4 linked regions of the Alligator mississippiensis genome follow. The protein of the gene in region 3 purifies or fractionates together with the protein of the main gene of each other region. This does not show direct contact. Links are inferred from orthologs where the notes say so. Each region holds a gene or a part of one and is shown on either strand. Other genes may lie near its edges. The genes, in order: tubulin alpha-1A chain, ELAVL1, STAU1 and DHX9.

The links.
Region 1: the proteins of STAU1 (region 3) and tubulin alpha-1A chain purify together in Homo sapiens (affinity purification with western blotting; 3 studies listed by BioGRID and IntAct, with this or other methods). This does not show direct contact. The link is inferred for Alligator mississippiensis from reciprocal best matches to the Homo sapiens genes STAU1 and TUBA1A.
Region 2: the proteins of STAU1 (region 3) and ELAVL1 purify together in Homo sapiens (affinity purification with mass spectrometry; 3 studies listed by BioGRID, with this or other methods). This does not show direct contact. The link is inferred for Alligator mississippiensis from reciprocal best matches to the Homo sapiens genes STAU1 and ELAVL1.
Region 4: the proteins of STAU1 (region 3) and DHX9 purify together in Homo sapiens (affinity purification with mass spectrometry; 6 studies listed by BioGRID and IntAct, with this or other methods). This does not show direct contact. The link is inferred for Alligator mississippiensis from reciprocal best matches to the Homo sapiens genes STAU1 and DHX9.

The regions. Positions count from the first base shown.
Region 1 is NC_081838.1:6,695,827-6,703,711, forward strand, and holds the start of tubulin alpha-1A chain, read right to left. Parts: upstream 3,009-7,885; 5' UTR 2,922-3,008; coding exon 2,919-2,921; intron 2,100-2,918; coding exon 1,877-2,099; intron 1,739-1,876; coding exon 1,590-1,738; intron 411-1,589; coding exon 1-410. UniProt on the Homo sapiens protein: Tubulin is the major constituent of microtubules, a cylinder consisting of laterally associated linear protofilaments composed of alpha- and beta-tubulin heterodimers.
Region 2 is NC_081839.1:9,483,563-9,491,045, forward strand, and holds the start of ELAVL1 (ELAV-like protein 1), read left to right. Parts: upstream 1-4,471; 5' UTR 4,472-4,579; intron 4,580-7,483. Other genes in the region: ZFR2 (zinc finger RNA-binding protein 2), read right to left, coding at 659-714. UniProt on the Homo sapiens protein: RNA-binding protein that binds to the 3'-UTR region of mRNAs and increases their stability.
Region 3 is NC_081832.1:14,183,209-14,190,331, forward strand, and holds the start of STAU1 (double-stranded RNA-binding protein Staufen homolog 1), read right to left. Parts: upstream 3,007-7,123; 5' UTR 2,872-3,006; intron 1-2,871. UniProt on the Homo sapiens protein: Binds double-stranded RNA (regardless of the sequence) and tubulin.
Region 4 is NC_081828.1:53,695,502-53,703,353, reverse strand, and holds the start of DHX9 (ATP-dependent RNA helicase A), read right to left. Parts: upstream 3,011-7,852; 5' UTR 2,931-3,010; exon of another isoform or gene 2,781-2,930; 5' UTR 2,769-2,780; coding exon 2,658-2,768; intron 1-2,657. UniProt on the Homo sapiens protein: Multifunctional ATP-dependent nucleic acid helicase that unwinds DNA and RNA in a 3' to 5' direction and that plays important roles in many processes, such as DNA replication, transcriptional activation, post-transcriptional RNA regulation, mRNA translation and RNA-mediated gene silencing.

The sequences.
Region 1 (7,885 bases), on a different chromosome or scaffold from region 3:
TAGGGCACCAGGTTGGTCTGGAACTCCGTCAGATCTACGTTCAGGGCCCCGTCGAAGCGCAGCGAGGCGGTGATGGACGACACGATCTGGCCAATCAGCCTGTTCAGGTTGGTGTAGGTGGGGCGCTCGATGTCCAGGTTGCGGCGGCAGATGTCGTAGATGGCCTCGTTGTCCACCATGAAGGCACAGTCCGAGTGCTCCAGCGTGGTGTGGGTGGTCAGGATGGAGTTGTAGGGCTCCACCACAGCTGTGGAGACCTGCGGGGCCGGGTAGATGGAGAACTCCAGCTTGGACTTCTTGCCGTAGTCCACAGACAGGCGCTCCATCAGCAGGGAGGTGAAGCCGGAGCCGGTGCCTCCCCCGAAGCTGTGGAAGACCAGGAAGCCCTGGAGCCCGGTGCACTGGTCAGCCTGTCGGAGAGGAGAGACAAAGGAAACAATAGCTCCATTATCCAGCTGTCCTGTTGGAAGAAGTTGGTTTCCAAGGAGCAGGAAGGCAGGAATGCGAGTTCTCTTCTTTCCTTGCCTAAAAAATTCTTCCTCTTACTCTGCAGTGTTCCCAGCTCAACCCACCCACCTGGGACACTGCTCTACGCTGCCGGAGTTTATTTGCCATAGAATAAGAAATGTGGCCACGCATTAGCTGCCAGGGCTGATAAGGTCATTTTAAATAAGTACAGAGAATGCTATAATTGTAGGCAAACACGGTTGTCAGAGGTGCATGTTGAATGACATTTGGAGCGCTGCTAGGCCCTCCTTTCCCATTTGAAAGACTTGGTGCTTCAGCAGCCAAAGTGCGAGAAGGTCACCTTAGGGAACTGGTGGACATCCCTGGGACAGGAATGTGATGGGTCTAACCCAGCTTGTAACAGCAGCTGCCTCTTCTGCACAGACAGAGGCAGTTTCAGTGCACTCAGTACAGCAAGTTGCTTCTCTGACCTATTCAGGATTTAAACAAAAGAACTAGCTTTCCTGCTTATACAGCTCCTAATCTATGAATTAATGTGGTCTAGGGAGTAGAGTTACTAATTATAAATGCCTTCCATTGTAACTGGATTCAAACTCCACATAACACTTCCTTTGTTAAATAAATAGTATTTTAAAAATATATTCTTGAAAAAAAGGCAGCTTCTTCTCATGGATCCAGACTACGGAAGGCAGTTTTCTTAGCCAATACCATTTCAAAATGCCTTCCCTGTCATTTTTAAATTGAATATCACTTTCCATCTAAATGTAGCTTGGCCCAAATCAGAAATAATAATAATAATAATAATAATAATAATAATAGGAAAAGGCAAATGATCCTCAGCTTGTTTGCTAAATTTTATTATGAATATTAAAGAAAGAAATCTACATAAGTGCATGTTGGGCTATAGACTTTATAGCTAGTGCGTGTGTTTGGTTAACAGCCTTGGACCAGCCAGTGGGAAAGGAGCCTGCTGGGAAGAGAACCAAGAAAGAAACATAAAGTAAGAGAGACTGGAGATTAAATATATACATATACGTGCACGCACACATGCGCCCCGTCATCCATAAGACTCCCTTGTCCTTGCCCCTGCCTAACCCCCCTGCAAGAGAACTGATGCATACCAGCTTGCGGATGCGGTCCAGCACCAGGTCGATGATTTCCTTGCCGATGGTGTAGTGCCCACGGGCATAGTTGTTGGCGGCATCCTCCTTGCCTGTGATCAGCTGCTCAGGGTGGAAGAGCTGGCGGTAGGTGCCAGTGCGCACTTCATCTGGGGAGAGGGGAGGCAGGAGCCCATGAGCAGAGTGCCGCATGTCCCTGCCCAGGCACGGGCCTCATGCAGGGGCTCACCTGAGCACAGGAAGATGGGGAAGCCTGTGTATGTCTGGGGTGGGGGCTGCACACTCACCTATGACGGTGGGCTCCAGGTCCACAAAGACAGCCCTGGGCACATGCTTGCCAGCTCCGGTCTCGCTGAAGAAGGTGTTGAAGGAGTCGTCACCCCCACCAATCGTCTTGTCACTGGGCATCTGCCCATCGGGCTGGATGCCATGCTCCAGGCAGTACAGCTCCCAGCAGGCATTGCCAATCTGGACGCCGGCCTGGCCCACGTGGATGGAGATGCACTCGCGCTGCGGAGAAAAGCCGGAGAAGAGAAGCCATTAGCCTGGCAGCGGCATGCACTGGGTCCACGCTGCGGTTGGAGCTTTCTGCTTCACACCCGCCTCTGCCCTTGCAGCGCCCCAACGTGGGAGCCATCATGGTCCCCGTCGCATGTGGGCGTGGCACAGACCAAGCTAGCGGCAGCCTTTGCAGGGCATGCAGCCAGCGCAGCCATTGCTGGGGAGCGTCTTGCAAGGAGCCAGTCCCCCAGCACTGCCAACAGGGTGGGGGGCCCCACCGGGGAGGTGCCAGGGGACTGTCACCCGCGGGTGCGGCCACACCCAGCTCTCCCCCAGGACCCATGGCGGGGTGTCACCCTGCAGCTCAGCATCGCCCGCCCCATTGTTCTTCCGGGTCCCAGCGGGAGCAGCTGGGAGCCCCCCGCTCAGCCCCTCCGAGAACCAGCTGGGTTCTCCCGGCTCTCCCCACGCGCTGCCCCTCGCCCCCTCCCCGACGCCACCCCCGTGCGGGCCCAGGCAGCCCTCGCCCGGCCCCGCCCGCGGCTGCGCTGGCTCCGGCCGCTTCCAGCATGATCTCATCGGCGGCCTCGCCAGCTCCCTCCCGCCGCGCATCAATGGAACAAAGGACCAGCCCGGCGCCGCTCCCGGCCCCGCCTCGGGGCTTTGTGGACCCGCGCCCCCCTGCCCCGCATCTGGGGCTGCGGCCGCCCCGTCCAGGCAAGGGCGCGGCTCCCCCGCACGGACCGGAGCGCCCGGGGCACGGGACGGGGGCGGCAGCTGGGACCGGTCCGGCGCAGCGCGGAGCCGGGGGGACCTGCCGGCCCTTACCATGCTGCTGCTGGCGAAGAGGCCGGGAGAGGAGGCGGCTTCTTACAGCGCGACTCTTATGGGGTCGATGTAAGAGAACTCGTGGCGCGGCCCCCGCCCCGCGCCTATATACATCCCCGTCGCCATGGGGACGGGCGGGGGCTTCTGCGGTTGGTCCAGCCGCCGCGGGCCGCCCGGGGAGGGCGGCGCTGATTGGTGCGCGGCGGATGGGATGAGGTCATCCCCCCCCCCCAGCATCCCGGAGCCGGGGGCATCCTCAGACAAAGGCAGCGGGCGGGGCCGTGCCCCGCATCCGCACCCCGCCCGCACGTCGGGGGCTGCCCTCGGACAGCTCTGTGAGCCCCCCCGGCCCGGGCTGGAAACCCACCTGCTCCAGAGCCGGGGGGCAGGGCTCCTTTGTGCGGGAGAAGGGGTGGGGGGGCTTGGTACCCGCTGTGCAGCGGCTGTGCCCCCCCCTTGCCCCTGCCTGCGGGATCCGGGGCACCACCACGCCCTGCACCGCAGCTGCCGACAGGGGCTGGGGGGAGCAGGGAGCAGCTGGGCTGAGCCAGGGGAAGGGCCCTTTATCCTGGGCACGGCTCCCAGACCCCATTTCCTGCCTGGGCTGAGCCAGGGGATGGTCCCCTTTGTCCTGGGCGCAGCCCCCAGACCAGATTTTCTGTCCTGAGCAGCCCCCAGACCCCGTTTCCTGCCTGGGCTGAGCCAGGGGATGGTCCCCTTTGTCCTGGGCGTGGCCCCCAGACCAGATTTTCTGTCCTGAGCAGCCTCCAGACCCCATTTTCTGCCTGGGCTGAGCCAAGGGATGGTCCCCTTTGTCCTGGGCATGGCCCCCAGACCCCATTTTCTGCCTGGGCTGAGCCAGGGGATGGTTCCCTTTGTCCTGGGTGCAGCCCCCAGGCCCCATTTTCTGCCTGGGCAGAGCCAGGAGAAGAGCCCCATTGTCCTGGGCGTGGCCCCCAGACCCCATTCCCTGCCCTGGCTGCTCCCAGCACTGGCACTTTGCCTTCCACTCCGGGCCCCTCCCTGCTAGTCCCGAGCTCCCTTCGGTTCCCACCCCCCAGGTTATTCCTGGGCTCTGGCACCCCAGAGGTGTCTGTCCCCAGTGCTCTCCAGCTGCAAGCACACAAAGCCTGGGCTCCTTTGTCCCAGAACTGAGGGCTGAGGAAGACCTGGACTCAGCCCTAACCCCATCTCCCATCCACTGTGAAGCTGCTGAGATACCGGGATCCGGGCACCAAGGAATGAGGCCCCGGACAGCTCCTTCAAGGCTTCAGCTGGGTCAGACATCCTGTGCCATGGAGCTGTGCTGAGGACACGGCTGGGACAAGGGAGCCAGAGGCAGGAATTGGCCCGAGCCCTGTGACCAGGTGGGGCTTTTGGCTCTGTCTAGCCCCGCTGGAGTATGTGGAGGCAGCCCCTAGCCTGTACCCAGCCCCTGCCTCCCTGCCTGGGCACAGGGGCAGAGAGAAGGACTTGGAGCAGTGCTGCCCCGGCCTGAGCATGGGGCCCCTGGATGCTCCATGCCCTCTTAAGAGGGGGCAGGGACAGGTCGGGAGCTCAGCTCTGCAGGCACCAGCCCCCTCCTCCAGCTGCCTGCATGGGGCAGGAAACGGCTCCAGCTTTGTTTTCACCCTCGTACGCTCTGCTTTGGATACTCGCATCCTGATCGTTGGTCCCATCTGCTCCCAGGGTCACATCCTGCTGGGGGCAGCGGATGCCTGCCAAGGTCCCAGCCTGGGCATTGCCATCAGCAATTGGACAAGGGGTGTTTGGAAGAGGGGGAAGGCACAGAGCTGAGAAGTGCTGGAAGCAGGAGTCAAGGCCGGGCCTGGCTGGGGCCCCGAGCCAGGGTCCACACTGACCCCCCTACCCTCCGCAGCTGCCTGTCCCCAGCCCCTCCTGTCACCCTTGGGCGAAGCCCCTGGGGGATGGTGGCTGTGGCTGGCCCTGGTTTCCCCCACGGGAAGGGGCCTGGGCAGCTGGACTCCTGCTCTGGGAGGAAGGAAAAAGCAGAGGTCAGAGCAGGGGACTCGGACACCTGCATCCAAACCCTGCCCTGCCCTTGCACCATGATGTGGCAGGAGTGAGGTCACCACTGCATGCCTCAGTTTCCCCCTGCAGAGACCATACCCCTTGTTCATCATCGGGGGGGGCATGAGGCTGAATATAGAGCCTGCATCATAGGTCCAAGCCCCAAGGGGCGGGTGCGGGATGGAGCCAGAGGCTCTGGAGATCCATGGAGGGTCTCTGTGGCTCTAGGCTCACAGCCTCATTAGGTATGCGAGGCAGAGTCCTTCCCCCCCAACCGCTGCTAGGCAACGAGCTGGTTGCTAAGAGCTGGAACAGGAGGCCCTGGTGGCATTCGCTCTTCCTTTATCACCTTGCCCATCACGTGGCCTGCGGAAAGCCGCTGCCTGCTGCGCCAGGGAGGGAGGGGGTAGGGGACGGTGGGGCAGAGAGGGGACCCTGGAAGGTGACGGGGTCCCTTCCTGGTTCCCTGGGGCAAGAGGAGTGGGGCAGGCCGACAGGGCGAGACACTCAGGGCTGCAAAGCTGTGCTAATCCACCACTGCCCCGCGCCCAGGCATGCATGTCAGCCCTGCGTCGTCCTGCCAGGGTCCTGCTGCCCACGCCTGAGCATGGGTGTCAGCCCTGTGTCCGTGGTCCCCCTGCCCACAGGAGCTGCCAGTGACGGCCTCAAGCTTCAGGCCCAGGGTAGAGCAGCTCCAGGGGCTGGGCAGGGCCACTCTCAGCTAGGAAGGGACTGAGGCCCTGGCGGGGGTGCTCAGCACAGCCCCATCCTGCAGGCTGCTGCCCGGGACACTCACTACACCAGAGCTGCTCCCCACCACTCGGTCCCTGGCTGTGGGGTGGCCTCTCCTGCACCAGCCTCTGTTGATTGTTGGTAGCAACGAGGCAGCTCTAGGAGACTGTTGCTGGGCCTCCCCGGCTGTGTTTGCCGGTAGCCAGGCCTCGCACAGCGATCCCGGGCAGGGGAGGAGGCATCCGGCGGTTGAGAGCCAGCCCCTTCCAACGGCCATGAGGCAGCCAAACAAGCAGCATTGGGAGGGTGGGGGCGGAGCTGGGCCCCGGGGACCCCCAGGAGCTGAGTGCAGGGTGCCCTGTGCGCCCCTGTCTTGGTCCCCTGCGGGTGCAGGTCTGACCCCCCACTTTGCCCCTAACCACAGGAATGCCCAAGGACAGATGGAGAAAGGGGGTCCTGGCTTTGCCTGCTGCAGCCTGAGGACCCAGGAATCTGGGCTTGGACAAGCCCAGCCCAGCAAGCAACTTCCCTGGCTAGGCACAGATGGGCGATCCCCTTTGCAGCAATCCTTTGTGCCTTTCCAAGCCCTGGGGGGAGGAATTTCTCCCCCAGCGCATACAGGCTCTGGACCCTGGCACCAGATGGGCGTCCCAGCTGCCGACCGGCCGGAAGGACACATGGCTTCCCTCTCCGGCGTGGGGGCGGGGAGGCAGCCTGGGCCATCAGCTGCCTGTCTGGGGGCTGCAGCAGCACAAAACGCCATGCAGGAGAGGGGATTGTCTCTCAGTCCTGGGGGTCTGCATCTCATCTGTCCCAGGTGGGGCACCCCCTGCCCTCCCTCCTGCCATCCAGAGGACCCCTGTGCTGTGGGCCCTCCTTGTCCTGTCTCCTCCCAGCTCAAAGGGCTGCAGCAGCAGGGTGCTGAGTGCATCAGGGAAGCCTGCAGCCTGGACAGGGGCCGGCAAGGGGCTTGGCCTGGATGTGCCTCAGTAATTGCCCTTCTCTGCTTCCCCTCCCATAGAAGGAGCATGAGAGCCGGCCAGCCTGGGAGCAGCTGGAGCTGTTACGGTGCCAGGACTGCCTTGGCGGGGAGGAGATGGCAGGACAGAGAGGAGGGGAGCGTGGGAGCGTCCCTGGGATGCAGCTGGGATGACCCTGGGGAGGGAAGGACTCTGGCCTCACTACACCAGCACCACGCCCCACCGCTGCAAACACGCGTGGAGCGGCTCAGCAAGCTGCGGCACGGCTGGGAAGGCGGCCCGGCGTGTTCAAAGCACGCGCAAGCACATGGACGGCAGATGAGCAGGGTGGGGCTGGCAGGACAGCAGTGGGTGCAGGGCATTCTGGATACGTGCATCCTGTCCGCGTTCAGCCTCCACCAAGGCTCAGCTGAGGATGACCCCTGGGTCCCCCCAGGAGGCAGGAGAGAAACAGGGTGGGGCCCTGGCACAGACAGCCCCGTCCTGGTGCGCCAATGCGAGGGGGGGGCCTGCTGATGGGGGGTGACCGAGGGCCCCTCCAGGCTGGTTCCCATGCCGGGAGCTGGAGGGGGCAGGGAGATGGGCTCCGCCTGCCAGCGCAGCACTCTCCGCTCTTTGTCTCTCCTCCTCCTGCCTCTCCCCCTTCCCCGGCTGCGGCAGGCGCGGACGCCCATGGCACGGAGGGAGGAGCCTGGTGGCTCAGCTGGCCCTGGTTCTTCAGCTGGCCCTTCCCTGGCCATCCCCTGCCCTTCTCCCCAAGACAGCTGGAGCCTGTGGTCTGAGCTGAGCCTGGCTGCCTGCCTTGGTGGGGGGGTTTCCAGCTGCAGGCTAGGGACCGGGTGGGGAGGTGGGAAGAGCCTGCTCCCTCCTGGGCTTCAGTGACCCCCTTCCTGGGTGGAAAAGAGCTGGGCATAGCGGGGCTCACTGGGAAGGCCTCCTTTCTGGCTGCCATAGGGCTGAGGGAGCAGGAAACCCATTCCCTGTGGCTCTGGGGCATCTCACCCCGGTCACACAGCGCAGGCTGGCACAGGGACACGGGGCCTCAGGGCCAGGGTGGTGTCCAGGCACACGCTCATGCTAGCACTAATCCAGAGCAGCCACTCCAGGGTAAGGCCCTGCATGGACACAGCAGGGAGATGCTGAGGGCCAAAGTTAGTTCTGGGGCAAGTCCCTGAGTGACCAGCTCCCCTAGGGTAGAGCTGGGCCCTGGCTCTGTCTGGAGGG
Region 2 (7,483 bases), on a different chromosome or scaffold from region 3:
AGTGGGAGGGAGGAGAATAAGGGAGAGAAACATCATTCAGAAAAGCAATAAAACATGCAGCCCGAGGGAACCCTGGAAAAGGCAAGATGACAGCGGCCAGGGTGCGCTCCCGGGCTGAAACAGAGGATTCTTTTGGGGGGGATGTAGTGGAGGGCAAAGAAATCCAGGAAGAGCACGGGAGCAAATCCTCATAGGCAGCAAGCCTAGGGAGACACGGAGAGGACCGACGGTGCTGGAGCATGACGCAGGCACCGAAATCCGCTCTCCAGGGATGATGGAGAAGAAGGGATCCGGCAGGTGTAGCCTCCAGCCTCGGTGCGGAAGAAGCCGGGAGCCCCAGCGGCTGCGGGGACCGAGGCATCCCGGCGCGGGACGGAGGGCACCCGAGGGGCGGGGAAGGAGGCAGGGGGAGGACGACGACAAGTAGAGCCGCGGAGGCAGCGGGCGGGCAGCAGGAAGCGGGCACCGCGGCCGGGCTCTGAGGAGGAGGCGGGGAGCGGCGCAGGCGGACGAGGAGCCACGGGCGCTCGGCAGGGGCGGGTCAATCTCGCCCCGGGCTTCCCCGCGCGGCTCGCCGCTGCGCCCCACACCCACCTCCCGCCACCCGGGCCGGCCCCGAGCAAAGCAGCGGGGCGGAGCTGGGGCGCGGCCCCGTTACCTGTACTGCGGCCCGGCGGCGCCGTGAGGGAAGCTGTAGTAGTTGCTGGCCGCCATCTTGGCGTCCTCACAGCCCGGCAGCGCACGAGGCCACGTGACTCCGAGCGGGCCCCGCCCCCCGCGCGTGCGGCCGGAAGCGTGGTCACGTGGGGCCCTGCGCGGTGGCGCAAGCCCGGCTCGTCACGCGGCCGCTTGGCGCCCCCTGGCGGCTTCCCCGGGCGGCGGTCCCTGCGCGCCCAGCCGCATGGGAGCCTGTCCTGTCCCCGCCGCACCCGATAGAAACCGGCGGGAGAGCTCTCGAGCAGCGGCTTCATGACTGGTTGCCTCTTTCTACAGCTGGATAGACATTTTGATGGTGTGATAAGGACTTTTTGCATGCGTGGGAGGACCAGATTTATTGCACGATTAACTGGTTAATTGCATGATAATTAGTGTGCACTTGTGGCCTGTCTAAATTTACTGTGCGAGTAACTCGTTAATTGTGCAATGCATGTAACATGGAGCAGGGCCCTAGAGCTCTGCCCAGCATCGTTTCAATGTGAAGCCAGTGTGCATCTTCCAGTGCACTGCACTTTCCAAAGACAGACAAGTTTCTTTGAATAAATCTGGTATCTTTTATTACACCAACTCAGTTGGGCTTATAAAAAATACCAAATTTACCCAAATAACTTTGTCTGCCTATGTTCTTAGACCAACACGGCTACGACCAACACCCCTTTCACTCTCCAGTGTTACAGCCTCATTACCCAGTCTTAAACGTCATGGTGTTGCTGAAGTGTCATAGGAACATGACAAGGAAAGGACCTTCTGGTTCCAGTGCCAGGCTACGTTCAGGCATCCATGTCAAATAATCCTATGAATAGGTTGATCAAGGCTCAAGAAAATCCTCCACATCAAATGGGAAGACAGCCACACAAACACCAATATTTTTGCTGAAACCAGTTACCAGCCACGAGCTGGCGATCCTCAAGCACCAGCCGTGCTGAATTGGATGTGTGCAGATGTCTGACTCCTGACTCCCAAAACAAGTGCTCTACTCCCAGTTTAGCTATAGCCTGAGCTCTTGTGGCCAGAGGAAATGGTACCAGGACACATTCAAGGCAGACCACAAGAAAACAGATGCCAACATCAAGAGCTGGGAAAAGCTGGGTGCCAACTCACTCCAATGGCACTGGAACCTCAACCAAGTGGCAGCCAATTCTGAGGTAAAACGCCTTGCTCTCAAAGCACGGGAGAGAGAGCAGGGGAAGGAAAATGAGTGAAATCCCAGCGTACATCCAACTCCGCCCTGCAGAAAGACCTGCAACTTCTGTGGACGGATCTGTGGCTCAAGGATTGAACACTTATGTCAACTCAAGATCCATCAGTAAGATGTGGTAAAGATCATCCTCAAATCAAGGGATTGCCAACAACATTCATCAAGCTCCATTTTAAAACTAGTTAGGTATTTTGCCTCCACTACTCATATTGGAAGGCTCTTCTAGAATCTCACTCTGATGCTTATAAGTCTTCTAATTTCCAGCCTAAATTTATTCAAGCCACACTGTCCCCATTTGTTATTATGCCAACCTTGTCCATTACCTTAAACAGCTCCCTTCCCTTCCTAAATTCTCCTATAATGTATTTATAGAGAGCAGTCATGTTCTCAATTTTCTTAAAATATCAATACAATATGATTTAATTGCACCAAAAATAATTCATGCTCCATATGCCAACATACTAGACTCAATGTGTTTTATGATGTGCTAAATGTCACCACACTGCATCATCATGGTAGCACTGTGCCAATGAGCATCACATTTTTTGATTCCATATCATAATGCAACATGAAAGCACTACACAGATGTGTCAGTATGTTGAATCAAAACATCATGACAGATCTAAGACACTGCAGTAATATAACACCACACTTTAAAAAAAGCATAAATCAAAAGTGCTGCTGCTTCAAATCATCACAACTTTACACAACAACGGTTTTCTTGCACTGCAACTGAATATATGCTTGTGTTATGAAGTGATGCCATGGCATAAAAATGTCACGTGGTAAAACAGGACAAAGACTCAGTATGGCCTCACTCTGAGCTGAAGTTTGGACTTCAAGGGCTCAGAGGGTTTTGGAGACTGAAAGGGTTTTAAGACACCCATGACCTTTCTAGAGACAGTTGTGAGGATTAAACTCAGTATTATTTGAGAAAACCCAAGACTGGTGATAACAGAAGGCTGCCATCATATGAGTGAGAAAACTGTAACATGATAGCTGGCAAACAGCAAATTCAGGCGATGGCAGGTGTCCAAATATCTTCAGTATTTTCACAAAGCCTCTATATCAGGATCAGCCAGGTTTGAAATGTACATCATGTGGAGCCTTCCCAAGGTAACCGTGAGGAAGAAGAGTCAGGCTAATGTAATGTCATGGCTTCCCTCCCCTAATGGTTAGTCTTTTTTACTAAAGCTGGTATGAAGCTGCCTCTCAATACTTTCTACATGATCAGGTGTCCCCCCAGCCTGTGACAGAGATGGGGCTGCTCCAAATGCCAGTGTCATGTCCGCAAACTGGAAATTAGAATAGCCCCAAATTTACGGGCCATTAGAACATGACTAGTTGAATAGGATTCACTGGGCAACCAGCAAACTAAGTATTCATGAGTCCAGAAGTGCCAAACAAAACCATTGGCATTAATAAAGTTGAAATCTATTAAAACTCAAGATGGCTTGAAGAAAATTATTTGCATTTTCAGTTTCTGATTTTTCATGTATTCCAAAATAATGACAATTTATGGGCAGTCCACATACAGATACAGGGATGGATGACAGCAAACACATCTGTATGTGTGATCATATCACCTCAATTGTATACCTTTGGCAGATCCAAATTTACCTGCATTCCACCAAAAAGCGTTAGCTCACATTTACAGCTGCGACGTATATTATTATTAAATACAGAATCATACATTTGCGCTTGCGTAACATTTACTGTAAAGAAAAATATCTCACAAAAATTGAAGAAAAAATCATTTTCTGATGTCCTTTATCTTGAGTTTTATCCTGTCCATTTCTTTACGTCAAGGAAGAGCATTTCCAGGCATTTTCCTTTTTAGATTTCAACCCGTACTGCCTTATTGTGCTGAAAATAGCAGCCACGGAGAGTGAGGGGCGTTTCGTTCCATCCCTGCAGATGGAAGTGGGATTGAATGCTTGACGGGAAGGGACGTGGAAGGGATTTTACAAACCCGCCCCTATGAAAAATGGATTGTTTGGGGCGCCCATGGATTATCTCTGGCCAAAAATGTCCTTTTGTTTGACAGAGAGGAAGGGCCAACAAGTGTGAATGGTGCCAACTACCACCCCCAAGCTGGGCCTTGCTGCTCGTCACCACTACAACGCGTGTCTCCTGCCCTCCAGGCCCTGCGGGCAAACCTCCCGCGATGCCAACCCCAGCCCCGCAGGAAAGAAACCCTGGCGCCTGCAAGGCCGTTCCGCCGGCTCCACCTCGCACTTTGCCTCACGAGGTGGACAAGGAAGAGGTGCCTCGTCCAGCCCCCACGGAGCGCTGACACCAGGGGCTCCCGGGCGCGCTGGTGCCCCGCGAGGCCGGCGGGGGTGCTGCACGCAGCCCAGGGAACGATGCGGCCTGGCCTAGCGAGGAAGCCCCGCGGGGCAAGTCTCCGCCCGCCCGCGCCGGGGATGGAGGGAGGACTGAGGATGGGGGACTCCGGACCCCCTCCCCCCCACCGGGAGGTTCCGCCTCCGGTCCGCAAGTGACGGGCGGGCGGCCGCTCCAATGGCTCCTCTGGCACGTGGGCCGCGCAGCCAATGGGGCTCGGCGGGCGGGGCGGGGGCGTGGCCAGCGGCGCTGCGAGCGGCTTGTTGTGCGCTGCGGAGCCGTTCGTGCTGCTTCCAGGCCCCGCCGGAGTCCTGACGGGTGAGGCAGGCGGGCGGCCCGGGCGGGTGCGCGCGCGGGAGGCCGGTGCTGAGGCGCGGGGGCAGCCGGGCCGGGCCTGCCACCGCCGCCGCTGGGGGAGCAGCGGGACGCGACGGGCGGCGCGGCCTGCGCCTGGGCCTGGGGCGGCGGAGCCGGGGCCTGGGGCGGCGGCGGGCGCGCGGCAGGGCCCGGCGCTGCGGGGAGCGGAGCGAGGCGCGGGCCGGCCGAGGCCTGCCTGGGGCCTGCTGCGCTTGCGCGGGCGCCGCGGGAAGGCGCCGTGCCGCGGCGGCGACTCGCTGCTTTTTGTCCCCATCGCGCTTCTGCCCTGAGCCGCCCCCGGCCCGGCCCGGCCCGGCCCGGCCCGGCCCGGCCCGGCCCAGAGCAGAGCGGCGCGGCGCGGCGCGGCGCCGGGCGGGGTTTGTCCGGGCGGGCGAGCCTGGCGCGCGGCTCCCTCGTGCGAGGCCGGGGGGCCGGGCACCGGCGGGGAGGCACGTGTGCGGGAGGAGGCGGGATGTCCGTGTAGGCCCCGCGGATCGCAATGGAGAGAAAGAAACGGCAGAGCACAGCATCACCGGCGGACTCGAGCACGGCCTGTTTTCCCGGGTGTTGCTGCTGCTGGCACAGGCGGTCACTGGTTGTGCTGGGGCTTGTCACCCCTCCTTCTCCTCTTCCATCTACCTGCCCTAACGGGTGGTGGCTTCCGATTTTCTAGGCAGAGTTGATTTTGACTTCAAACGGCTTCATCCTCGCCGCCCGCTCGCACCTTTCCGTCCGCTCCGGTTTTGACGACTTCTAGCTTCTCTGACCAGACTTGCCGTGGCTGTGGCATTTCCCTGTCTAGCCTGGCTGTCTCTGGTGTTTTGTTTTGGGGTGTCCCACTGCCATTTCAAGCTGTTTCTCTAAAACTGAACTGCTTTGGGTGTTGGTGCTATTGGTCCGTACGCCCTGCGTTCCATGTGTGGGGATGGCAGCAGTCTGTTCAAAATATAATCCTTTCTGTGTGCACCAACAGTTGTACTTTTATTGTGTTCTTTGCGTGACCTTTTACTGTACTCCTCTGACCCTCTTTTGCTTTTTTTGGCAAGACCTTGTTGTTTCTTTTTTAACTTAAGCTTAGCCTGTATTATTGGTTTGTCCTTATCTTGGTCACTTCTCACCTTTACCTGTGGTAGCAACTTATTTAGTCTCCTGTTCTTTTCTCTCTTCTCTCACCAACTGCACTAGTTACTGCTGCATATATTTGCCTTTTCTGTAACTATATTTTGAGTCTGATCTGTGGTTTCCTGTCTCCGTGCACATAAAATGCATGAATTAGGCACATAATCATCATTGAAATCTCTGTGCAGCCTTTCCTCTTCCATCGCTACATTAAATCTACTTTGTTTCCCATCTTCTTGCCTTATTCCTTTGGGGCTTTGTTTTTCTCCCCTCCCCTCATTTTGAATTTTTATACCTTCTGTTACTTTTACTTTCTGCAGCTAAACTGACCACCTTGTCTCCGTCTATAGAACCATGCCCCTTTTCTTTTAAAGCCTGTCCCTTGAAAGCAAGTTCACCAGCCTGTGCCCTCTTTTTTCCGCAGGGGTGATGGTTTTTACGTAGCTATCTGATTTCAGGTGCAAGGCCTTCTGGGGTAAAGCTATCTTATAACACGTTAGTAGGACTGAAATGAAGGTTGTATCAAAACAAACATTTAGTTTTGAGAGACCTTTATTGTCTCTGAGGCTCAGACTATTTGGTAGTTATAGAAAACTTTTACAGCTTGTTCATGCTTGGAAATGTCCCAAAGCAGGTATTCTGAAACAGCTGTTTATGTACATTTTGTAGTGTAGATAAATTGTAAAAATAGAAGTCATTCTGAGTTTCCCTCTAACTTTGAGGGTTTCAATCTACTGGCATATGGAATTCCAGGATAAGATAAATTTTTCCTTTCTGAAATTTAAGTTGGGTAGCTCTCCTGTGTCTTGGAACTTAGGGGTGCATGACCTTAGTATGTAGAAGCACCAGGGTGTTGGTGCTACTCATGTATGTACATGTGGGGAGAGTTGTATCATTGGATTTAACTGATGTGTACAAAACCTATTAAAAAAGTTATTGCCTTTAACTTGTTTCAGGTATACCGTAAAAGTTAGGACTGTGATAATGTTCACTGACTCTGGTCCCTCCTTGTTTTATAAAAGGAGAAAGGGTTAAGTTACAATTCCTTTCTTTCCTTGGTCTTCTGAGGAGAGGGTTAGGAAGCTCCACTCTCTACTCAGTCTGGTGGTTAACAGGCCATCTTCTAGAGACTGAACAAGCTGGCATCTCCATTCTGTTCTGCTTTTGCTTGCTGTCACCTTCTCTGTACATTACAAATCCGATCAACAGCACTTGATCTACTGAAATGAGAGTGTAGACAACAGCCAATTCTTGGCTCTGTACAGCTGGGAATTACAGTTCTTGCCAGAGGTGGGTCTGAGGACCCCATGGTCCACATCTGGCCCAGGAAGCCAAACCAGTTTGATACCCTTGGCTTAGACCATGATTGCAGAATTCCAAGCTGGTCCCATGTACTCTCGTTACTCAGAGGGGATTTGGGGAGAGTGCCGTGACCTTTCATCTGTTGAAACAGCTTTGGAGAGGTAAGGATGGCATTTATGGTAGCTTCCATTCTGTCCCTTGTCCTGGCCCTTAGTGTTGTTAATTCCACTCTGAATGAACTGGTTGTAATTTGTCTCACTGCTGGCAAAATTAAGAAAAACATTCTTCTCCAGGGCAGTTATCTTTGTTTGCTAAGCTAAAGATTACGTGTCAGACCCGGAAACTGATAGAGGTTTCAGCCTTCTTGTAACCTTTCTGGAGGGGGTGGTATAAGCATTTACATGGTAGAAAAATAAAGCTGAGTGTATAAGAATGATACTTTAA
Region 3 (7,123 bases):
TATAATAAAGAGGTCCTATCACCGGGTCTCTTATAAGAAATGTCAGCCACCTTCCAGCCTCAAAGTGGGATGACTTACATGTCAAAACCCTTCTCAGGGATTATACCTGTGAACCTCAATCTCACCTGCGTACTGAATCAAGAGCTACTGAGTTCAAGAAAAAAGTGGGATAGCAGATACACCTGCCTCTTCAGCACCTTCTAACTCGTTAACTTGTGGTTTCTTCATGCTGGCCGTTGTGAATCGTACCCGACTGCCTCGCATCCCTTAGTATAAACATAGGAACCTAACTTAGGGCTGTGGCCTCCACTGTCATGGCCAAGCACCTAAAAGTAACTGATGATATCTGAGCATCACCATCAGGCACAAGTGCCTTTGTGGAGCTAGCACTCACTGACCTGCATGGCATCCTGCAAGATGTCCGAGGCACAACAGGGACCTCTGCGGTTCTAGAGGACCTGAAACCCAGCTACAATACTATAAGCTCCTGCAAAACAAAGGGTGTGGCAATTCATGCCAAAATGCCATTTCTGAATCTATTTGGGGCTTCCATCTCTCATTAACTGAATATCTTAATGGCATGAAAAAACTATTCAATGCTTATCAATGCATAAAGAAATCATATTCGAGTCTGTCAGGGACAATACATCAAACATGCATAAGATGTAGCAGTACGCTACATTTGGGAATTTATCCAACGACCATTTGTCATTATTGCCCATTTCTAACTTCATTGCTGGTGACTGCCTATTATTTTCTCAAGTGTATTTCTTACAAACCAGAGCTAATATGAAACTCCTCCCTTTGTCTCCTAAAAAGCATCCTGACTGTAAAAGAGGATCCTACAATTCTACCCTTTGCTTTAACCCTTACTTCAGGTCCACTTGTGGACTCTTTCACCCCAGTCAATCATCCCAGCATGTTGTCTGCTCAAAAGTTTTCCCTTTCCCACTGCTATTTGGAAAACACATGAGCCTTGTAACTTCCTAGCTGCAGTGAATTTGACAAGTATCCAGGTCCCCTTTCTTCAGGTTGAGGAAGATCAGGCAGTTAAGCAGAAAAAAAAAAGATACAGATTAGAAACATGGTTTTAACAGATATTTAAATAATAAGGACTAATAGTTATGCTTGCTGCCCTTCACTCCTGAGCCTCCCTAATGTTTATGGAAATATGGAATTGTTCTTCCAAAATTAATAATCATTTTTGCAGAGAGGGCTCATTTCCCAATATATCCAATAACCAACCACAGTACAAATCTGCGCTAACGTTAATATCTAGATTAACTTCTATAATGTTAAAGCAAAATAATCACATATTTGCTACAGAAAGGTTTAAACAGTTGCCACAAAAAGGTGCTAGTTCTTTATCTGCCAATTATAGACCAAAATGAGTTACAAAAATGCAAAAACATTTCAGTTGAGCAAGGTTTCATCCTTGGACAAACTTTTAAAAAGGAAATAGGTGTCTCTGACAAGATCTTGATTAGCCAAGGAACATCTCTAAGCTAGTATTTATGAGAGACGCTCAAAATGTATACAGCTGATAATTTACGTGATGCTTCATGAATGCAGATAAGAAGTGAACTCTGCAGGGCAGGAAACACTGTGAATAGGACAAAACCACAAAACAAATCAGGAAAGAAGGTGCAAAGGATTAATGATAAAAAAAAAGCAGCTGACAAAAATTCTAAGTAGATTTTAAGAAGGGCTCTGCAGAACAGAGACCTGGCAGATGAGGATATCAGGTGTTGGAAGCACGCAATACAAGTATGAAACCCAACAGAGGCAACACAATTAAGGCCAAGGATTGAGATAAACACTTAAACGCTACAGTAAAACTTGGGTAGTTGACATCACGACATATTTTAAATTAAATATAGTTTACTTTGCTAAACCACACCACGGTTTGATAATACACTCAAGGCTAACAATTTCAATTAACATAGAAATAAATCGTATGTCTTCTCTCTCGGCCTCATCCACCACAATAATCAACATAAATACTAACACTGACACATCTAAAGGAAAGTTGTCAAGGCAACTACCGAAAGTGCAGTTAAGGGCCAAACGAACTCCTTTTTTAGAATCGTTTGTTCCAGACAGACAAACCATTGTCACGGCTGCTCGATACGCCAGTGAACACGGGGCTTTACAACCGAGATCTCCAAAGGCTGGAATTTTTGTTCCTCCATAATATCAGCGACGTCCCCCACGCTTTTTCGACTGCGCCCCAACCCCGCGGCGACCGCACGGCCGCGGCGCAGATACCGGCCAGTCTGACAGTAGCTCAACTTTGTGGGATAACCACCGAGGTTAAGACACCCAAGCCGGCACGACACACGTCCGGACGGCCTCCCGAACAGGGGGGTGGCTGCTGTAACGCTCCTACGACCCCCGTGAAACGCCACGTGCTAACGGGGGAGCGGAGGAGAAAGTAGAAAACCACAGGGCAGGGGAGGGAGCCGCGCAGCCCCTCTGCCCCCAAAGCAAACAGCGCACCCGACGCACGTGTGGAGTCGGCACCAGCGCACCAACACGGCTCGGCGGCCACCGGAGCCGGTGTCTCTCCACGAAGGCCCCTCAGACGCACGCGGGGAGCAGGGGCCCTGGGGCCAGGCCCGAGGCTCGGCGGGCAGAGGAGCAGGAGCCCCCGGGGCGGCGGGACCTGTTGCTCCCCGGCCTCCCGACGCGTTGGGCGGGGAGGAGCCGAGGGCGCCGGGGAGCGCTGGGGGAGCCCGGGGCCGCCGCGCCCCCCGCCCCGGGCCGAGTCCCGCCGACAGCGCGCGGCCCCGCCCGCCCGCCCGCCCCCCCGCCGGGCCCGGGGCAGCCGCCGCCGCAGCCCCGCTAGGCCCAGAGCCGCCCCCCGCTCACCTGCGACCTGGGCTGCGGCTCCCGGCCGGCGGCGCTGCGGGCGGGCGGGCGGGCGGGCGGCTCAGTCCATGGGCCGGGGCCAGGGCCGGGGCCGGGGCCGGGGGGCGGCTCGCGGTGCGGAGGGAGGCGGCGGGCACAGGGCAAACACTAAAGAGAATGAGCGGGGCCAGCTCCGGCCGGGGAGGAAGTGACGGCACAGCGCCAGGGGGCGCCGGGCAGCCAACCGGGACGGCCGCCGCGGCCCGCCGCCCCGCCCCCCGGGCCAGGCGCAGCCAATCGCGCGGCGGACCGGCTCCGGGCCCCGCCCCCCCTCGGCGGACTACAAGTCCCGGCGTGCCGCGGCGCCCGCATGCCTCCGTTCCACTGCGGGGGCGGGACTACGGCTCCCAGCATGCACTGCAGTCTGCTGGGAGGGCCACGTGCAGCCGCGAGGCTTCGAAGCCTCCCCCAGGGGCCGGGCTGTGGCCTGCGGGCGCCGGCGTGGCGCGAGGCTGCTCCCGCCCGCTCGGGTTGCAGGTGTGCGGCGACTTCCACCGCTGCGGAGCCACGACTCGAGCCTCCGGGAGCGCCGTGGTTGCTGCGCTCCAGCAGCCTCTTGGATCACCACCCGTCGTGGCAGCAGGGGCGTGTGAACTAGTGCTCGCTGGAAACCGTGTTCAAACACGGGCATGCTGATACACGAGACGCGGCGGTGCTCTCATTAAAGCTCCCCGCACAGGTGGACAAGTCTTCTCTTGCAGATGGAGATAAGGATGCTTGTGTGCTCTTCTTCCTGTGTAAAGAGTTTCCCGACAAGAGATCCTCGGGTGTAGGGGGCATCGCTCGCGCTACAGCTTCGGAGCAAGAGCTGTACTTGGGCAAGAGTTGGGATCAAGTTAGACAATTTTTTTTTTAATGCAAAAAGTGATCTGATGAAGAATGCCTTTTGTGGGGAAGCTTGTCTAGCTTTGGATGAGCTGGATCTTAAAAGACACCACCCCCAAAAATCCTTGCCTCTCTGGCAATTCCTGGATGATCGGGACTACAGTGCTTGTATACCTATTTTTAGACTCGCCCCTCTCCATAGATTTGAGGCACCCTTTGGAAAATGCCAGCTTTTAGGTTTTGCTTGTTTCTTGACTACACAAAAAATGCCAGAGCAATCTTGCTGCTGCTAAGAAGTCAGACCACACCAGGGCAAAATGTATTTTTGAACACAACAGATTCATGTTTGAAAACTAGGTTCATCTTGTGAATCATGTTTGCACGCCTAATTGTGCTAACGCTGCGTGGCAGTCTGCAGCGCTCGCTCCTCAAAGGATCTCAAGGTGGCCTAGCTCGGGGGGGTTGCACAGAATCACTGTTCTAACACTACTGTAATTATGCTTTTTGGAATGAAAATGCTCCTGTAGTAAACACTTTATCATCATCATCATCATCATTGAAATTAAGGGCTGGAAGGGACCTTAAAAGATCATCAAGTCCAACCCCTCTGCTCTGGGCAGGAATACTGCTGAGATCAAATGATCCCAGTAAGGTGTCTGCCCAGTCTCTTCTTGAAGACTTCCAAGGTTGGGGACTGCACCACCTCCTTGGGAAGTCCACTCCAGATTCTGGTCCCCTTACTTTAAAGAAGCTCTTCCTTACAGCAGTAAATTTCTTTTCCCCCCTTCCTTTCTGGCTTAGTGGAATAATTTTATTTAAAACACCAGGTTTCTGCTTAGAAATGCATGCATTTTAGTAGCGAATATAGCCTGAAGTAAACAAGAAACGTAACAGTTCAGTTCTGGGAGTTTAACGTAGGGATTTGCTGTGTTTAAGATGATCAAGTAGCAGCTGCTGTGCTGTGTGCTCTCTGAAAAGATCTAGTCTTCAGCGCACACACTCAGAGGTCTTTGCATAGTCTTAGACCTCATTTTTGATGTTCTAGCAAATTCAAATACTGAATAACCAAAGAATCACTCTGAAAGATTAATTTTTCTTTTAAAGCCCATTGAATTCCAAAATGAAAGAAGTGTGATCACACTGAAGATACACACACAAGTTATAAGTACTGCCATTTGTTAGAAAGAGTCAACTGCTGTTGGGTAGATAAAAGACAAAAAAAATACAAGTTGGACACTCAAGTGATGACAGCGGCTTAATGAGACATCCATTTGTGTTTTATACACTCAGAACTTATTTTGTTTAAGTCAAAGGAATCTGAATTTTGGAATGTAAAAATGGTCCAAGCAGCTGTATCTTTGTCTGGTTTGCATATGTGTTTTTAATTTGTATTGGTCTTCAATAGCTGAAAAAAAATCAAAGAAGCTGCCATTAACTAATTGCCACTGACAAACCTTGGCTTGAGTATTTCTTGTAAATTAACATTTAAACCATACCCTCTTGAATTAACCACATGGAATAAATTCAGTCATATTAATTAAATATTAGCTTGCTAGCAGATAAAAAAAGAATTATGAATCTATTGATTTTGCAGATTTTAAGCAGAACATAACTTCTAAACTTCATATTTCTGCATATCAAGGCAAAAATCCATAACCTCAAGTAATTTTACATTTGCTATACTAGATTGAGTCTGGGCACATCCAGACGAGCACACACGTGGTATATGGTGCCGCAGACCCATCTGTGGCACTGGAAACCGCATGTACTACATATGCAGGCATTCACCATGCTGCTAATTTGACATCAGAGATCCTGGTGGTAAAAAACCCACAGCTGAAAAAAGCAGGATGACACGTGTGGTGGCAGTTAGGGAGGGGTGTGTGAAGCAGGCCCTATTTGATTCAGATTCTGATTCAGCCTGAGCTGGGGACAGTGATTCGATTAGTTGATTCAGATCACTGTCCCTGATTTGATTCGGCCAAATCCAAATCTGAAGGTTCAATGCTGATTCAGAGAATCAGGAATTTGGCCATAAACACAGCTTTAAATGTTTTTCTACACACTTCAAGGTACCAGGCGCTGCCTGTGAATGCTGCAATGCTGGGGCACATGGAGCATCCGACAGGAGTGCGTGGGGCCCTCCACATGCTCAGCGGCGAACCTGGAAGTGGACCAGAAGTACTGTAGTCCACTTCTGGGTCCACTAGAGAGTGTGCCAGGGGCCCCCTGCGCCCCCCACCCCCCTGGCTCAGTGATCAGCCACGGGTGGACCCTGGGCACCACCCCCCCTTCCCCGATGACCCTGGAGGCATCAGTCGCCGAGCAGTGGGGGGGGGGCTGTGCGCTCTCCAGTGGACCCAGAAGTGGGTGGAAGTGCTTCTGGTCCACTTCTGGGTCTGCTGCTGAGCACACTGGGACCCCTTCCCCCCGCACTTTGGTGGGACACTCCATGCGCCCCAGCATCTCAGCACTCATGAGCCCCTGCTACCTAGAGGTATGTAGAAAAAACATCTAAAGCTGTGTCTACGTTCGAATCACCAAATCTCTCCAAATTGATTTGGAGGGTTCTGATTGGATTTGGAGAGATTACAGGGTCCTCTGATCCAATTCGAATTCAGAGATTCGGCCAGCAAATCAGGCCAAATCTCCACCGAGTTGAATCAAGGACCAAAGCTTCGCACAGCCTTAGTGGCAGCATGCGCTGCCCGAAACAAGCCTGCCCAGGTGGAGCCACACTCCAGCTGCTGGCCAGGCTCCACATGCTGGATCTCTGCTGCTGGAGCCCTGGGAGGCCCCTAAGACCTGACCCCAGCCTCCCCTACCCCACCTGGGGCAACCTGCCACGCACCACAGTGTGCATGCGTGGACATTCCCTGGAAACAAGTAGCAGCGGCACAACTATGTGATGCTGCTATTTGTCCCCAGGGAAACACGTGTGCGCACTCGTCTGGGCACGCCCTTTGAGACCAGGATCCTTCTTTCAAAGGATATTGCAAAGGTGAAAACTACAACAGCAGCTGACAATTGACCAATTGTTCGTGGAAGTGATGAAAGGTTCCTATGGATGTGTACCAAACAAAAGCAGCTCCATGACACTGAACAAATGTAAAATAGGGATAATTAAGATTTGTAGGAGACAAAGCTTTCCCCAGCCTATAAGCTTTTTCTTTATGGTAGCAAAACCATGGGCTCTTATAGACATGCAGGGAGCTGGCTCTGACATGCTGGAAATCCAGTGGGTCAGAACAGACTCAATCAATTGAGTCTGTGGGAGCAGAGAAATTACCACACTCCAGCAGCCTCTTGCGTCACGTGTATCAGCATCCCTGTGCTGAAAAGTGGCACTGGGGTGCTTTGAACTAAGACTCATTAAATGAGCTTTAGT
Region 4 (7,852 bases), on a different chromosome or scaffold from region 3:
GGGAGTCTTCAAGAGGAGGTTGGATATGCATCTAGCTGGGGTCATCTAGACCCAGCACTCTTTCCTGCCTATGCAGGGGGTCGGACTCGATGATCTATTGAGGTCCCTTCCAACCCTAACATCTATGAATCTATGAGGCTGGTACAACGCTTCACACCACACAAAGGAAAGAACAGCTTATCTTTACCCACTTCCCAGCAAAACAACAGGGTCACCAAATCCTCTCGTACATCTGACACATACTAGACCTCACTGGTGACTGCTTCTTTCATTACATATATATGGCCGCACACATACATAAGCACTGCCCTTTACTGGGTCAAATCATAGGTCTGTCTTGCCCAGTCTCCCATTTCCCACAGGCCCTTCTGTGAGCAGGAAGAGACATGGCTGTAGCCCCTGTACTGCCTCCTCCAGAACCTCTTGCTGAGGTTCTAGCTGCACTTCTTCCCTCACCTGTTTATTTAAGTGCTCCCTGTCCATGGCCCTACCAAGTCCCAGAACCTCCTGGTCAACCTCCTCCTAGCCCTGGCCGAGCTGGCTGTGTATCTGACAAGGAATGCGGCTCTGGCTGGGAGGGTCCCTGGGGACTGCTTTCCTTGCCCTGCTTTACTCCTGTCTCCAAGCAAAGTATCAGCAGGCAGTGCCTGCTGGCTCCTTGGACTCATTTGAGGGCCAGTGGGTGCTGTTTGGTGTGCTCTGTTCAGTGTCCCCACTCGGCATGTTTGTTTTGAAACTGAGTGGCACTTCCTTCTCTGTTTTTTCATTATTTGCTCCAAGAAATATGCTGTCCGTTTTTCCTGTAGCTTCCCTGCCTAAGGGAAGCCAATGAGAGACTTGGTGGGCTGGGCTCACGTTTTAAAGGGTGACAAATAGGCCTATTTCCCACAGGCCCTTCCGCGAGCTGGGTGAGATGGAGCTACAGCCCTTGTACTGCCTCCTCCAGAATGTCTTACTGAGGTTCTGGCTGCACTTCTCCCCTCACCTGTTTATTTACGCACTCCCCATCCATGGCCCTACCTAGTCCCAGAACCTTCTGGACAACCTTCTTCTGGCCCTGGCCAAACTGACAGTATACCTCACCAGGAAGGGGGCTCTGGCCAGAAGGGTCCTCAGGAACTGTGGAGCCACTTCCCATGCCCTTGTACTTTCCTGTCTCGAGGCAGAGTATCACCAGGCAGCATCCACTGGTTCCCTGGATTTATTCAGGGGCCAGTGGGCACTGCCTGGCATGCTCTGCTCAGGGTCTACCCCTTGGAGCACTTTTAAACCTGAGGCCTCTTTCCCATCCCTGTTTTCACCTCAGCTGTCCCCTGCGCTCAGGTGATGCACCAAGGGGGAGGCCATGGCCCCTGGGCACAGGCCTGGTGGGGTGGTGCTGGCCAGGTCATAGGCAGATTAATGCACGGGCAAACTGGGCACACGTGCCCAGGGGCCCATTCCAATTCGGAGTCCTGGGATCCTCACCAGCAGGGAAGCGAAAGCCACAGTTTAAACTCAGTGCCCATATCTGGCACCAAGTTTAAAACTGCGGTTTTCACGTTTGCTTCCCTGTGAGACGGAAGCAGGGCTCCTCCTCCACCAATAGGGCTGGAGGAGAGGAGGCAGGACTGGGGTCTTGCCTAAAAAGCTGTGCTACATCTGTGGGCTGAGTGGCGCTGTCTGGTAGGGAGAGGGCTGGGCTGGGCGAGTCACGCCTTACCTGGAGCGGGGTGGGCTGGGCAGTTGGAACCAGGCCAGCCAGGCCAGGAGCACCCTGCCACATTGCACCTCTGTGGGCCATGGCACTGGGAGGGCCTTGGGGGTTAGAAACCCCCAAAATTCAAGTTGGCTCCTCTCTGTGTCTGAACTACTCCCCCACAGGGCCACTGCCTGCCTGCAGAGACATGGTGTGGTGACCGTGCTCCCCACCGGGTCCAGTCCAGCTTGGCCCTCTGCATCTGCAGGGCTGCTCGGGACAGCCAAGCAGCAGCTCCATGCACATAAGTGTAAAGGGGGCTCGGAGGGGGAGTGAAACTGAGCCGTGGACAGCTCCAGGGAGAGGGCAGACAGCTGTGTGTGTGCATGATATCTTTTGGGGGGGGGCTTGCTTCCGTACAGGGGTGTGTGTGTGATATCTTTTATTGGGGGGGGGTGTTGCTTCCAGTACAGCTGTATGTGTGTGTGATTATCTTTTACTGGGGGGGGCTTGCTTCCAGTACAGGGCTGTGTGATATCTTTGGGGCGGGGGGGGGGGGGCTTGCTTGTGGTACAGGTTGTGTGTGTGTGCACGATATCTTTTATTGGGGGGCTTGCTTCCGGCACAGGGGGTGGGCGGGTGGGTGTGGGCTCTGCCATAGGCTGCTAGGGGACCCCTCCCTCCCGTTCTGCGACGGAGGTGGGGGCGCAAATGTAAGCATGGGGCCCCAGGTGCCAGAGACCCTCGGTACGCCACTGAACTTGTCTGTGGGACTGCGCTCCAATGCCCGGCCTACACCACCACGGGTGCGTCTTTCCTCACACAGCCCCTGCACTTCCCCGGGAGCCCGGCTACCTGCCCCGCGGCAGCCCCGCCCACACCCAGGCCCCACTCTCCCCTCAAAGCCCCGCCCCCACAGCGCGCGGGAGCAGCAGCAGCAGCAGCAGCAGCCGCCGCACGACGCCCCGCCCCGCCGCACCTCGCACTGGAACTTCTGCCGGTTCTTGTTGCCAGCGGCGCGGATCTCGTAGGCCGGCGTCACCTTCCTCTTGCCACACCAGGCGTACAGGAAGTTCTTCACGTCCCCCATGGCGGGGCCGCCCTGCGGGCACACGCGACAGTTAGCAGCTGCCACAGCAGCGCGCCCCTCCCAGCCCTCGCAAAGGCAGCTTCCAGGTGGGACGGAGCCCGGCGGCGACTGCGCACTAGCACCGCCCCATTCCGCCCGGAGCTACGCTTTGCAGCCGCTGACCTGCGTCGTTATTTCCCAGCCCGGCCGCTGTCACAGGTGAGACGCGCGGCCCACCGACCCCCGCAAAATGGCGCCCGCTGGACGCATGCGCACTGAGCAGAGTGGTGGAGCCGGCCCGAGGGGCGGGGCGGGGCAGCGCCCCCAGCGGCCGGGGGCCTGCGTGACTCGCAGCTAGCGCCGGGTCCACCACGCACTAGTCAGCACAGAAACGCTTACCCTGTTTTTGGAGGGTGCTAGTAAGCGTTCGCCAGCAGAGTCCTTGGGACAACTAAAGCAAACAGACAAGAGCGAGGGTCATAGACTAACAGCGAGTGCTCTGTGGGGGGACACGGAGCAGCATGCACCACCCAGCACCCACTGGCTCTCCAACGAATCCAAGGAGCTGGTGAAACTGCCTGGAGATGTGCATGGATGAGGGACAGAAAGATGGCCCCCCCAGTCACCAGGGGTCCTCCTGGCTGCATCTTTCTTCCTGGGCAGATAGATGGCCAGCTCACCTATCTATGCAGGAGGCCCCTGCGAGGACAGGAGCACTCGCGTCATGCAGATTCCATAAGGGCCAGAGATAAACCACTGGGAGTGAAGGGTCTTTATATTAGCCTGTTTAAAGCTCTTGCTGCTTTAACTCCAATGAGTAAGCAAATAAAGTAAGCCTCTGCTAAAGACTCAACATGCATCTGTCATACAGGGGGTAGGGCTCACAATAACTGTACTGTGAGAGCTTCCAGCTAGTGTTGGAGCAAGGCCTAGGAAGAGCAGATGTACATTGTTGATTTTGTAAAATTAAAAAAAAAATTAAGGAATTTAAAATCTAAAAAAATAAAACTTGAGGTTTTCCTTGTACATCAAAGTAGCCAAAAAAGGGGACAGCTCAGCTGTTAAATAGGCATTGGTCACTTTTACATGATGCAAAAACAAAACCAAGTGTTACAGCTGTATGTAATCATACTGTCTAGGAGTGCCAGGACTGAGACTACAGGCAGATGAAGAGGTGCAGGGGAATGCACTAGGGGGCACAGAAGCTGTGCCATGACTTACTACGCAGAGACCACATTAGCCAGGACAAGTTAAAGTGCTGCTCTAGCTTGTACTAGGAGCTGGACTAGAAACGGAAGAAGTATGAAAAGTAGTTGTGAATAAGTTACTATTGCCGCCTTACCCTTCTGCTGCTCCAGGAGTGTCAAACATACTATAGCCCACAAGCCAAATCTGGCCTGGAGACCTTTTCCTGGTAACACGCAAATGCCTGGGCAGGACCCATGGCATTGGAGTCCCAGCAGTATCATAGCTTGTTCCCATGGCAGGTCGCTGGGCCTCTTCCTTCCAGGCCCCAGACTGGCTGGAGTGAGCACCATGGGTGCTAGGATCTGGCATGTAGGGGAGGGTCCGTGGGCTTGATCTGGCCTGTGTGGCCATCCCCATGCAGTTCAGCTAGTCTGTGGGTTGGTTGTGCATCAATCGCTTGGCCTGAAAGACCAGATGTATTTGACACCACTGTGCTACCCGAAGCTGAGATAAAAAGTTGGTGTGGTTTAAGGTAATGCAATTGGGTGGTTAGCAGAATTATACCCAGAACAAAGTTGGGTTTTATTATAAACCAGGGAACATAAGAAAAGCTGGGACTTGCTTCCTAAGCTTAGATTTCTCATTTTCTTGCACAGAGTAAAAGTCCTGTGAAAGTCCAGTGTCAATTTTCAGTCAATTCTGCAAAGTCTTGAGCACTCAACACCTGGATCCAAAGTAATACTGTATATAGTTAACTTCAAGTATCTGAATAGTCCTTTTTTAGTCGAAGTGACCATCTCATTTTAAAGTGGAGTATGTGCTTAAGGGCTTATTTGATCCCAATCCAGGAAACTCAGCACCTGGAAGGCCAGGATCCATATAGAGAAGGGGAAATAACCACAAAAAAACCAACATTTGAGAGAACAGAACTTAAATATACTAATGCTAACTTTAGTTTTCCAGCACAATGGCACATGCAAACCATTCTGGCTAACCATATTAGCCTCACTATGCAAGGAACACACAGTAGTTTATCTAGATAGCTAGGCATTTTAGAGAACTAAACAACAATAGTAACACCCTTGCTATTAAAGAAGAGACAGAGATAGATAGGAAGGCTGCTATGCTAAAAGGAACAATTAATGGAAACTACTTTTGACTCTTTGCCATTTTTAGGTAAAAAAATAAAAGTGTATCCTGGATATACAATTCCTGGCTGTGCCTCTCATACTGTATTTCTGGTTGGATTGATTTTAGATGCTCAGGCATAAAATTACCAATTCTTTTGTGTTTTGTGTAGGGTTTTTTGGTCAAAATTGAAGATGAAGGGGCAAAAACAGAACCAGGGCAGCTTGGGTTGGCAAGCCCTAGCACCAGCCACTAGGATGTATTAAGCAGAGGTAAACACAATTTAGGATTTCAATCCGGCAGGAAAAGTTTCAATATCTTAACATTTGTTTTCATCCCAAATTGCAACAAAAGTAAAAACAATTACTAACTTCTTTAAAAAAGAAAGAAATCAATTCCCAGTAGAGTGGCACCTGCCCCTCTACTGCCTCACAAAGGGCATTTTTCCAAAGCAGAAAGAAAACAGTGATGCAACTATTTTTAAGAATGTGTTTATGATCCCCAGAACCCACAGAAATATAATCAAAATGTTACACAAAAAAGTTCATGAAGAAACCCAGTTTAATAATTTGGTAGCTTTGTTGATTATCAAAACAAATAGAAGTTACTCATTTGAAGATCACATATTTAGATAGGTTATTTCTATATTACCTATTATTTAAAAAGTGTCTTGTTTTGTAAACATCATTAGAACAGCAGTAACAAGATTTCATTCTCATTAGAAATAATCCTAAAAGTAACAAAATAAAAGCCTTGGGGAAAACATTCTAGAAATTTTCCTAGAATAGCTCTGGCTGGGAGTGTACATGGGCATACTTCTACCTAGAACCCTGGAAGGCTGGCGCTCTGCAGTCTCTCTCAAAGGAATGGTAGCACAAGAACTCGGTGCAGATGCACATACTCATTGGCTGATGGGGAGATCATCTCCCTTTCCATGTCTGACTGAAAAGAAAGCTTATTTAAATTTCTTATACATCTTTGGAAAAGTCTAGTCAACCATCTAACTCTACCTTGGCTTCTAAGTTTGTGTTCTGCAATTAGAAAGCAAGACTTACACCCAAAGAAGACCAAGTCAAGGAAATGTGAAAAATGCTGCCAGAATTCTTGTACACAGAGATGGATAGCACTTTACATTAAACTTTACCATAGTGCTTTATCATAGTATACATAACTACGCAAGGTAAAAGGCAGTGGAGAATTAGGTCCAGTATGTATAATGGAACTCCTTAACCTTAAAATACATGACATTCTCAAAAAAACTTAGTGGTAGTGCTCTCTACTGCTTTATAGAAACCCCTGGGTCAATTCCTGCTGCAACTCCATGGCTGCTTTGGCTAGTATGTACTGGAAGAAAGGAAGAGGGCAGCATATTCAATCATTAGAGCAGGGGTAGGCAATAGGCATGTGCAAAGCAGCAAGTATTCACTTGAATTCAGATTCAGCTGATTCGGAGGGACAGTGATTCGGATTCAGAGATTCGATGCTGATTCAGAGATTCGGCCGTAGACTATGTGGCCAGGTGGGATTGACTAACAAAATCTCCCTCCCTGCAACTCACCTCCCATGCCTTGATGTAAATGGGAAAATAAGAAGTTAATTCCCCAGCAAAAGAGGGCATAGTAATTCACCTCAGAAGCAGCATAAAAGTAAATTGGTTTATTAGTGAATTCCCAGCAGGATCTGGGTAATCCCAGCCATTATCACAGCCTGCAGTCTTCCTTCTCCCTTCACCACAGTGCAACCCACTCCCCCTAAGCCTGTCAGCTCACCTCCAGTTTCTCTCTCTCTCTTTCCCTTGTAGGCAGAGACATCCCTAGGGGTGTGCGGGGCTGGGGGGTGGTAAGTAGGAGGTTGGGGGGGAGTGGGGGGTGGCCAGCAGCTGAAGCAGGGGGATGGTGGTGTGCAGCTGCCATGGCGGAGCTGGCAGTGCACAGCAACTGCAGCAGGCACTGTCTGCAGGGCCCTCCAAAGTGCAGGGCCTGGGGCAATCTCCCCAATTTGTGCGCCCCCCCCCTCCAGGGACAACCCTGCTTGCAGGTATCAGTGGATTCTTCCTCCGTGGGACTGTCTCTCCACCTGAGGATCCACCTGGTAAACGTCTCCCCTCTCTCACCTCTTTGTTTTGCTGGCTGCCATGGTTACCTTCACCTGGTCAGCCGGTCTAATCAGCAATCTGCTCCAGCACTGGGTTTGCTGCTCCTGGCTTTCCCCACAGATTCTTCTCATGCTCTGCCCCAGGGGGAAAAGAATAGCCCTCTGGCTGTGGTCTTTAGTAGTTGCTGGCCCTTAATCAGGTGAAATACCTCTCTGATGCGATCCCTCTCCCAACTGTGTCTATTAAGTAATTATCCTTGCCCTGTCCCTGACCCAACTTCCCCCTGTACTCGCAACTCTGTAGCAACAAAGGAATTGGGCTATTCCTTGCTCTGTTAGACTATAATGGGAAATCACTAAAATACCTATAACTTTGTAATTATTTTACATATTTGGATGAAAACAGCAGGGATGCTAGCAGCTCTTAGGGCACGGAGCCTGCCAAGTTTCAAGGAGATAGGTGCAAGGGTATCTGTGAAAGTGCACCTCAAAACTGTTGAAAGCAAAACTCATATCACAAAAACTGCAAGCCTTCCAAATCTCCAAATCTCGCCAATACAATTTGGACCTTTTAATGGGCCTCCCGATTCGATTCAGATTTGGAGATTCGGCTGCCAAATCGGGCCGAATCAAATCAGTTACTGAAGCTTCACACAGCCCTAGTAGGCAACCTCTTCCAGCTGCAGGCTAGAATA